Linked DNA regions of Neurospora crassa OR74A. The protein of the gene in region 1 interacts with the protein of each later gene in a biochemical or structural test. Links are inferred from orthologs where the notes say so. Each region holds a gene or a part of one and is shown on either strand. Other genes may lie near its edges.

What was found.
Region 2: of the proteins of os-4 (region 1) and os-5, one has a biochemical effect on the other in vitro, tested with the Schizosaccharomyces pombe proteins (2 studies listed by BioGRID). The link is inferred for Neurospora crassa OR74A from reciprocal best matches to the Schizosaccharomyces pombe genes wis4 and wis1.

Annotation. Positions count from the first base shown.
Region 1 is NC_026501.1:4,445,170-4,449,770, forward strand, and holds the start of os-4 (MAP kinase kinase kinase SskB), read right to left. Parts: upstream 2,914-4,601; 5' UTR 1,953-2,913; coding exon 1-1,952. UniProt on the Schizosaccharomyces pombe protein: Involved in a signal transduction pathway that is activated in under conditions of heat shock, oxidative stress or limited nutrition. Unlike win1, it is not activated by changes in the osmolarity of the extracellular environment.
Region 2 is NC_026501.1:7,912,168-7,916,625, reverse strand, and holds the start of os-5 (mitogen activated protein kinase kinase), read right to left. Parts: upstream 2,973-4,458; 5' UTR 2,768-2,972; intron 2,505-2,767; 5' UTR 2,077-2,504; coding exon 424-2,076; intron 352-423; coding exon 1-351. UniProt on the Schizosaccharomyces pombe protein: Dosage-dependent regulator of mitosis with serine/ threonine protein kinase activity. May play a role in the integration of nutritional sensing with the control over entry into mitosis. It may interact with cdc25, wee1 and win1. May activate sty1.

The DNA.
Region 1 (4,601 bases):
TTATATCGCTTGGTCATCTCAGGCACGCTTTCTTTTGGCCTTCGTTGAACCTCCTTTTCAAAAGTTTGGCTCAGTCGGTTCCAGGCTTTGTAGGTTAGAGAACTGAACTGTTCCGCGACTTCCACATCGCCGTGTGCCAAGTAACGCCCGATTTCGTTTCCAAAACCCCACTCTTGGAATAGCAGTTCGGCCTCCTTGAAGGTGTTCTTGTTGCCGCTGAGCTTCCAGTTCAACAGTTTGAAGTAGTACTTGAGCGCCTCCAGGATGACACGGTCGAAATCCTCATCAATACATGGGGGCAAGTCCCAACCGGGCTCCGGTCGAGCGATTTCCATGTACTCGCGCTTAATCTTGATGGCGAGCTTGAGAAGAACCTGGAACTGCGAGATCATTTGATCCTGCATCATGGGGTTTTGTTGTGCCGAGTCCTTCATCTTCTTAGCATAAGCCAGCCGCATCTTGATGATCTCCTCAATGAGGCGTGAAGGGAAACTGATGAGGGTGAGCAGCTCCTCGATGTAAGGCGGGAGATGGCGCTTCTGGAAACCTTCGGCATTTTGAATAAGTGTGTCCTTGGCCTTGGTGATGACACGAGAGATGCCGTCGAGTCTGCTCTTCTTCTTTAGGCTTTTCGGTTCGGAGCCTTTGTCTTCGTGCAGTGACTTGAGACCCTCCTCCTTCATGAGACGATCCAGGAAAGATGATTCATCGCTGAGACCATTCCCGCTGGGTGATTTTTCCTTGGTGCGGGAGAAGTCGAGAGCATCGTTGCCGACCCACTTTTTCAAGATCGACAGCTCTGTGTTGATCATCTCATTGACGTTGTACCATGATATCACTGCGTCGCAGGTCTCCTGATAGGCCGAATAAACACCAGGCTTGAGGGCGGTCATGAGTTCCCTACTGGACGGGTAGAGGCTCTCGATTCTTTCGATTTTGTTAACCACATCGCGAACCTGTTCAAATGGCGGCTTTCCTGCCTCGCTCTCTCCAGCAATCGCAAAGTTGATAATGTCGTTAATGGAACGGTCCAGCGCTGCACGGGCATCTTCGACGACCCGTTTCTGGACTGGCAGGTGTCGACCACATAGCCTTGCCCGAATCCCAAGCCACAGCTCTACATTGTGAGCTGACTTTCCAAAGGCCTCATCATTGGAGCCAATGAGACGTTTCTTCTCTTGCCGCACAACATCACCGGTGAGCACAGCCTCCAGCATGCCGTGCCATTCTAGTCTCTCGCGGCTCTCGGGATCTCTCAGGTCTTCCTCGGTAATCTGGATATCCTCGTTACTGGCGAACATGATATGCGCATCATCGTAGCTGTCGAACGCGCCCTCGGAAGATGGCGTCTCGCCTTCGGAATCGGAATCGTACTGCTCGCCGGAGCCGTAAGCGTCAAAGTAGTCGTTGTTGTAGTCCTGTTGTCGTAATCTGCGCACATATTCTCTCTCCTGGGCTCTGAAGGTTGAAGTGCCGGCCAAGGGGCGTGGTCTGGAGCCATCACGGGCGTGGGGATTATTCGCCATATAGGACGAAGGCTGACCTTGTGGGGGCCTGCGCTGGTTGTAGGGCTGATAAGTGTTGGAAGGCGTCCTGGCAGGGGCGGTTGGGCGCTGTGGTCGTGACGGAGTCCCATTGGCATACGTCTCTGAGCTAGCACCGCGGCGACTGCTCGATCCATTGGCCAGGGGCAGGGAGCTGGTCAGGGACCCGGGCACCAGAGAAGGCACCGAGCCAGAATGACTCTCGACATATCGACTTAGAGAACCCAGCTCGTCAATCTGCTCTCGGACGTGGAGATCATCGTGGGCGTCCGTTGAGGGATTGGAATTATCCGAGTCGTTGGCACGGGGGTTCGGTCGGGACACGGTCTTGTGCTTGTCGAGCCGGGCAATCGGCTCATCGTCCGTCTGCGAGAAGCGCACAGCACGGGGAGAAAGCTCGCTGGCCATGGTGGGTTGAAGGGATGGAATGAGAGGTTAGATGGTCGATTGTTCAGCGGATGGTCGTCAACTGTTCACCGCCCAATGCGATACGAGGCCGTCCGTCCCGGAGAGGTCGGTCGCGGCCGCGGTCGATGGCGGTGTCGATGTCAATTTCGGAAGACTGGTATCAGTCAATGCCAGTGGCTGTGTGTGCTGTGAGCGTGTGTGTCTGCGTCTCGTGCTCGGCGTGTGGTTCAGTTGTTGGAAATGATGGTCGTCGGGGTCGTCGTCTATCTGTGGGAATCCTCGGTGGTCGTCGTTGTCGATGTCAAGTCAAGGAATGTATGTCTCGCTAAAGAGGCTGCAGCAAAATCACCCACTGCTTGGGGAAACAAGGCTGACACCAGGGCCCTGCTTGTCCATGGGGTGCAAGCCAGAATGAGGGGAGGGCCGTCAGAGCTCGATCAATTGATCGGGTATGTCAGCGAGCGGCGTGAAGAATGGAAAAACGGCTGTATCCAGTGTTTCGGGTTCGAAGACTGTCGCGGCCTGGAGCCCCTAGTGGCGGCGGAATAGGGGGAGTCCTTGCGTCGAGATGGAAGTGGATGAATGCAGCGATGCAAGCGACGTCCACGGCGGTCCCGGCCGTCGTCACCTCAAAGGTCAATTGGGACCTGGGCGCTTTCCACTTGTTCAGGTCGGGGTTAGGCAGGTCAGATAGGTAGGTAGGTACAGTACTACCACCAGAGTCCGTCCGGCTTAGTCCAGTTTGGTCCGTGCCAGGGGCAGTGCGGTAGTGCGGTCGAGGTAAGGAGCAGTTGTCAGGCGGTCTGTCCTGCGAGGTAGCACTGGTCCCACCATAGAGATCGATATCGACAATGGGGCCGTCGGACAGCAGTAGGTGCCTAGTGTGTCGCCGACAAGTCAAAGGAGAGAAAGTTCGTGATAACTCTGGAGCTCTGACAGAGAAGGTGGAGAGAGGTGAAAAGTCCTACTTTGCCGAGTAGAGGTACAGGTGCATAGGGGGCAGCCCAGATCGAGGTAGGTAGGTACCACTGATTGGGCCTTCGGCTCCTCATGGCTCAAGCTGCCCCTGTACCTTCTTAATAATCCGGGGTGGGTTTGACAGGCAACAGGAATGCAAGTTGTGGCCCGACGGCACCCATACAAGCACACTGCAGGCCAGCTCGGCGGGGGTTAGGTACGAGCGGGCAGCTAGCTCCGTCCGTCTGCACTGATGGCACTAAAGAGCCCATAGTGTACACTAGTACAACAGGTAGTGTAGCAACATCCCAACGGTGACCGACTGCCCGAAATCATTGGGGACAGGTTGTGGAGATTGGCGGAGTCTTGGTGTTGGTGTGCTTCTCTTGGCTCTATCAGTCCAGCTCGTACAGCCTTGCCTTTGTTCGCGAACCAACAGTCTCTGCAGGCCATGTTAAGACAGTTGGGAACAGCCTTGAAATGAGGAGGCCTTACTAGGTGGTGATCACGGTGCAGCGGCAGGGGGTGAAGCAGACCTCGGGAGCAACCCTGACCTGCAGCATCGTGACTTTCACCTGCCGCCTCGCTTTCTGGGCAAGAGCAGGAGGGACATGTTGATTGCCCCTGGTAAAGACTGGTGGGTTGACTGGGGGTGATGCGGTCGAGATGGCTACAGTAAGGTAGAGGTAGTTATGGCTGATCTTTGCATCCGATCAAGGGCGCATGGCATTCTAAATTCCCTTGCTTTGGCTCGACTTTGCCTTTCTACTTGCTTCCTCCTGGCAACGTTCGTCGAGCAGGCCGGAAATGAGATGACGAATGGAGGATTGAGTTCTGCGTGCACTAACGATATGATGCGTTCTGACCAGGTTTGTAGTTTTGGCCCAAATAGGCAATAGGAAATTGTCTAGACCTGGATAACGATCCCACGGTTTGGTAGCCAGTCACTGCCAGTCCCGGTCGCGCAAAAAGCAAAACACGTGCGACAAGGCTGGCCGGGCTAGTAGTGCGCGAGCCCTCCACTTCAGAGCCGGAGTCTCCCAAAAGCGCCCAAGATCTCAATTCTGTAGGGGAATCGGACATTGGACCCAGCCGACATGATCGATCGAGAATTGCCACCGCGTCCATCAACGCACTTGACCACAACATCGTGATCGAACCCGAGGTTGACGAACCATCTAGACCACCTTGCCATCGTATCTGCCTGGGAGATCCAAAAGAATGGGAATTCTGAATTGTCGTATTCGATATGAGCATCTTGAAACAATAGATAAAATGTATTTGACCGGCTATCTCCCCGTCCAGCGTGCGACCTTTGATTGGATCGAAGCTCTGCTGTCGTTGCTGTGCAAGAGTCGACTTTTGTTGGGTGAGATCGATAGTGGGAGCAGTGCCGCAGAAGCTCTCAACCTCCCCTGCTGTGAACCCGCAAGAAGACTGACGGAATCCAAGCCTGCAAGCTTCTGCTAAGCCACACGGGATTGCGGAGCACGCCGCAGTCTTTGTAACTGAACCAACTGAACCTAATCAACGTGATCATCTCCACATAGACTCAGTGTAGGTACATGGCATTGCGTAGTGTATGTAATGTAGCGTAGGTACTGCGTAGATGTGGCGGGAGCTTGGGCTACATGCGCCTTAGCAGCGCACAAACCTATGACGCTTTGGCAGTTAAGCGCAACGCGTAGTTCT
Region 2 (4,458 bases), about 3.5 Mb from region 1:
AGCGGGCTTCTCGGCCTTATCACTGAGCAAGCCCTTGAGCTTGCGGTCCAGAACGTTGGTGACCCACTCAGCGACCTCACGATCGCCCTGGTCGTTGATCGGTCCGTTACTGTTGATGTCGAGCGAGCCGGTGGCGTCGGCGAGCTGGTCGTCCGCGGCCTTCTCTTCGGCTTCCACTTCTTCCGTGATAGTCTCGGGCCTGCCGAGGGACTTGATCCATGGGTGCATCAGCAACATCGGGTAGGTGTGGCGCTTGGCAGGGATCTTGTTGAGACAGGACTTGACAAAGTCCTGTGCTGTGCCGGAGTAGCCCTCACTTGGGAGGCCGGGAGGGTCGCCCTCAACGATGGCCTGGATTGTTCATTCTGTTAGCTTGTGTGTACGCTTCAGGGATGAGGATAGGGAAGCAGAAAGAAGACCTACACTGAGTTGACTGAAGATTGTGCTAGAAACCTCAGGCGGGTATGGGTATCGACCCATGGCACACTCGATAATGGTGAGACCCAAACTCCAAATATCGCTTTGTACGCTGTAGGTCCCGGCAGCCGCGCCGCCCGCAGCTGACATGCCACCACCGCTGATGCGTTCTGGTGCCATGTAACTCTGGCAGCCAATGTTGGTCTTTGCTATACTGGCAACGAGATTTCCCGAAACGCCAAAATCGCAGATCTTGACTTGTCCATTCGTGTTGACCAGAATATTGGTGGGCTTGACATCGCGATGGATGATGTTGTGATCTTCTTTTAGACACTTGAGGCCCATGATCGTTGCATATGTAATCTTGCGCAAGACATTTTCGGGGATACCTCCGGCATATAGCTTGTCTATACTGCCGCCATCCATGTACTCGATGCACATATATACCGCGCCTTCTTGGTAAAAGGCGCCGTAGAAATCAATGATGTAGGGCGAAGCGCACTCGTGGAGAATTACGAGTTCCTTGAGAATAGTGGAAAACTTGGATTCATCCAGCTCGAGTCTGATCTCTTTCATCGCCATGACCTTGCCTGAAATGCCACGCGCAGCGGCAGTGACAGGACTTAGTGGCGAGATATCGGAAACGTCAGCATCTGATGCCGACGCTTGTCGAGATAAAGACTGCTTGGTGTTCAAGCCTTGCCCAAAACGTGGAAGCTTGGGCTTACTATGTCGAACTTTGTAGACGGTACCATAGTTGCCCTTGCCTAGCTCGTCCATCACTTCGACCTCGTCTAGCGAGATTCTGAAGGTCTGTCCGTTGGCGAAGTTGACGCCTGTCCGTGTGATGGTTGCTGCGTCTGCGAAAGTTATCCACCCCTTTTCTGCGTCGATATAGTTCTTGAAATCGCTCAGCTTGGATCCGCGCCCTTCTCCATTAATGGCTGGCGCTTTGGCGTCTTCGGCGCCCATGTCTGACAGTTTCGGCGTGGCAGTCACCGGCGACCCAGGCCCTCCTGGTAGCCCTCCGAGCTTCATCGCTCGTCGTTCGCTCAGACTGGGGGCCTTTTTAGCTCCCAGACCGGCTATGGCAGGTGCGGATTTGGGGAAGCCTTGGGGCGGTGGTCGTGCTATACCTGGAGGTAACCGAAGGCCGCCGGGCAGGCCGCCGGGTGCCGGACCGCCGTGATTCATGTTCAAATTCATGCTGTGTCCCATGCCCCCCATACTTCCCATCCCGCCCATGCCCGATCCCATAGGGCCCATACCCAGTCCACTGTTCTGCGGCGACATGCTGGGTCGGGGAGCCATGCCCATCCGCTGTTGATGCAGAGCTCGTGCCTTTGCCATGAGGTCCGTTGGAAGATTTGCTGCGGATGCCGCAGGTCTTCGTGCGGCATTCAATGTCCCAGGAACACTCGAACTAGGGCTCATTGAATTCGTGTGTTGCGGGTCGGAGATGGTCCGTAATGATGGCACTCTGCGAGGCAGGTCGCCTTCTGGTGTGAAACCAGGCATCGCATCTGAACCTGAGCTTGGCGGGTCCATGGGCGTGCTTGCCTCAGACGACTCGTCGACTGAGCCTGGCGAAGCCGGGTTGCTCTCATCGTCATATTCATTTGGGCTAGCTGGGCCGTGATCGGGATCGTGGTCCGACATGATGCTGGCAAGTAGTTTATCTTCAGCGCTGTGCGATACTAGTTTTTTTTCTTTCTTTTTTTGCTGCTGGCGAGTGCCAAAGTGTTGGTCGACGGAAGGTCTTTAGCAATATGCGGCGCAAACTGCTATTGATGTTGAAGCGGCTCTGAAAAGAGGGGCGGCAAAGGTATGGAGTATGTCGAGGCAGCGTGGGAGAAGCGATTTTCTGGTCGAGAGGCAACTCGAACAAGAGGTTGGGTCGGTATAGTCGTCGTCGTCGTCGAAGGGGAGGAGTTTTCGTACAGGTTATGTAGGAAGGGGGAGAGGGCGTCAGAGAAGAGATAATCGAAAGCGCAACATCCAAAGATTTGGCTCTGGTCTCGCAAAGAGCTGCAAGGTGACGATGTTCGCAACCGATGACAAAGCACCACGCTACGATGGCTGGCCTGCTATGGATTGACGGGTGAGCGGGCAGGCCCAACAGAAAGTGAGCTAGTAATGGGGGTGCAAGCTAGGGTAGGTGGTAGATAGAGAGCTCTGAACACGGCTAAGAGGGACAGCGGCTGAGACTCGCAGGTTCGTGAACATGGGGTGTGATGGTGGAAGCAAGCCGTGGCTCTCGCGCGCGCGCTCTCTCTCTCTCTCTCTTTGTGAATAGAGAGAGGTAAGAATATGAACGAGGAGGAAGCGGAAGAAAAGAAAGATAACGTACTAGTCGACGTAGGTAGTGCCCGGCGGAGTGAAAGGTCGATATCGACTATGGACCCGGTCCAAGATCCAGTCCAACTAAAGTAGGGAGGTACCTCAGTAGGGGACACAAAATGATGGAGGTGAGGTGGTATCGACGTTGGCTGGCGGGCGGGTTTTGGATGTAGGACTTCACCAACTTCTTGGTTGAGGTCACTCGAGGTTCCTAGGCTGGAAGGTCAGGTACTGCTGCCGGCGGGCATCTCATCACTTCAGCGGGCGGGCAGTGGGCACCTCCAAAGCACTGCCTGGGCAAACGCCGAGCAGCACGGAGCAGGGGCTTTTGCTCCGCATTTCGCAAAAAAACGCCCCTCTAGGTGGTCCATGCCTTCCACTTCCCATCAAATCCCCATTTCCATTCCCGGTCTCCCGTCCCAAGCTCGCAGGGGAGGAAGAGGGAATGCGATATGCCGAGAATACCTCTAGTGCCCCAATCATCTGAGCTAACGCTCCAAGGAAAACGTCCCAGAATTCGCTTCGCCCACCGAGCATCGTCTGTCCGGCTTTTTTCTGCCAACCATTGAACTCATGAGGAGGCTTGTATTGGTCCGCCAATATACGGAGCTTGCTCCAGCTGGTCCGCGGAGTTGCGGGCACCTGACCAGGTCTTCACTATACTGCGCAGTTAGCCACGACAGTGTCATCCTATCCCATTACCGGACACAGACAGTCGACAACGAGGTCGGTCGACAGGAAAAAAAAAAAAAAAAAAAAAAAAAAAAAAAAAAAAAAACGAAAGACTGGGCACACCATGGGCTGCAGGGGATTTGCCAAGGTTTTACGACTCGCTGCACAGTGTATCGCAGGTCACGGTACTCCTTGGGTGAATAATTTCCTTTTCGGCATATAAAAAGGAACGATTAGGGCCACAGGAAGGACGAAGCAACAGCAGCAATATCACAGAGTGCCGCTTTGGCTCCAAGTGGACATGGAAGACGAGTTCTATGTCATGTCGTCGAGTCAGGTACGATATTCGGCACTCGGAAGAATCCGAACGAGCCTGCTACAAATGTGAAGACCGCACTCAGCAAAATTCCAAAGCTTGGCATCAAGTCTGCGCAGCCAGTCACGACAACCATCACCAAAGAGGCACGACTGTGATCATGGACAACGAAAGCTCTAAACGATCTTTTTCGACGCGCTGATTTCACATTCATGCGCGAGGATCTCTCATCGGTCCCTACACCCTCGGAGCTAACCATAGTCAACACCAGCACCTAACCTAACCCTTATACTACTAGCCTTGAGGTTTTTGTGTGTGTTGTACACCTCATCTCCACACAGCCGTCCGAGCGGCTCGCGGAAGAATGTCAAGTTCAACGCCCAAACCCACTCAGATGCCGTACACTCCGCGGCGTATAGCGGGGAAAGGGAAGGTACACCAGTTGACGCCAAATGTCGGCGTGGTACTTGGAGATACCGCATTTCTTGGTCCTGCTGGTGTTTAGCAACTTCCATGCTTCAGAAAGGAAAGTGGGGCAATTGGAGCTAGGGATCTTGAGAAATCTTGCTATGACGTTGTCTCCTGGATCATCCTGCCTGCGCCGCGGGAAGTCAGCGAGAGAGCCAGCGAGAGCCAGCCAAACAATCAAGTCACCTCCCAGGCCGGGGGTGGGGGAGGCGGGGGAAGGGGACCATTGACGGGCTACGGTGTGT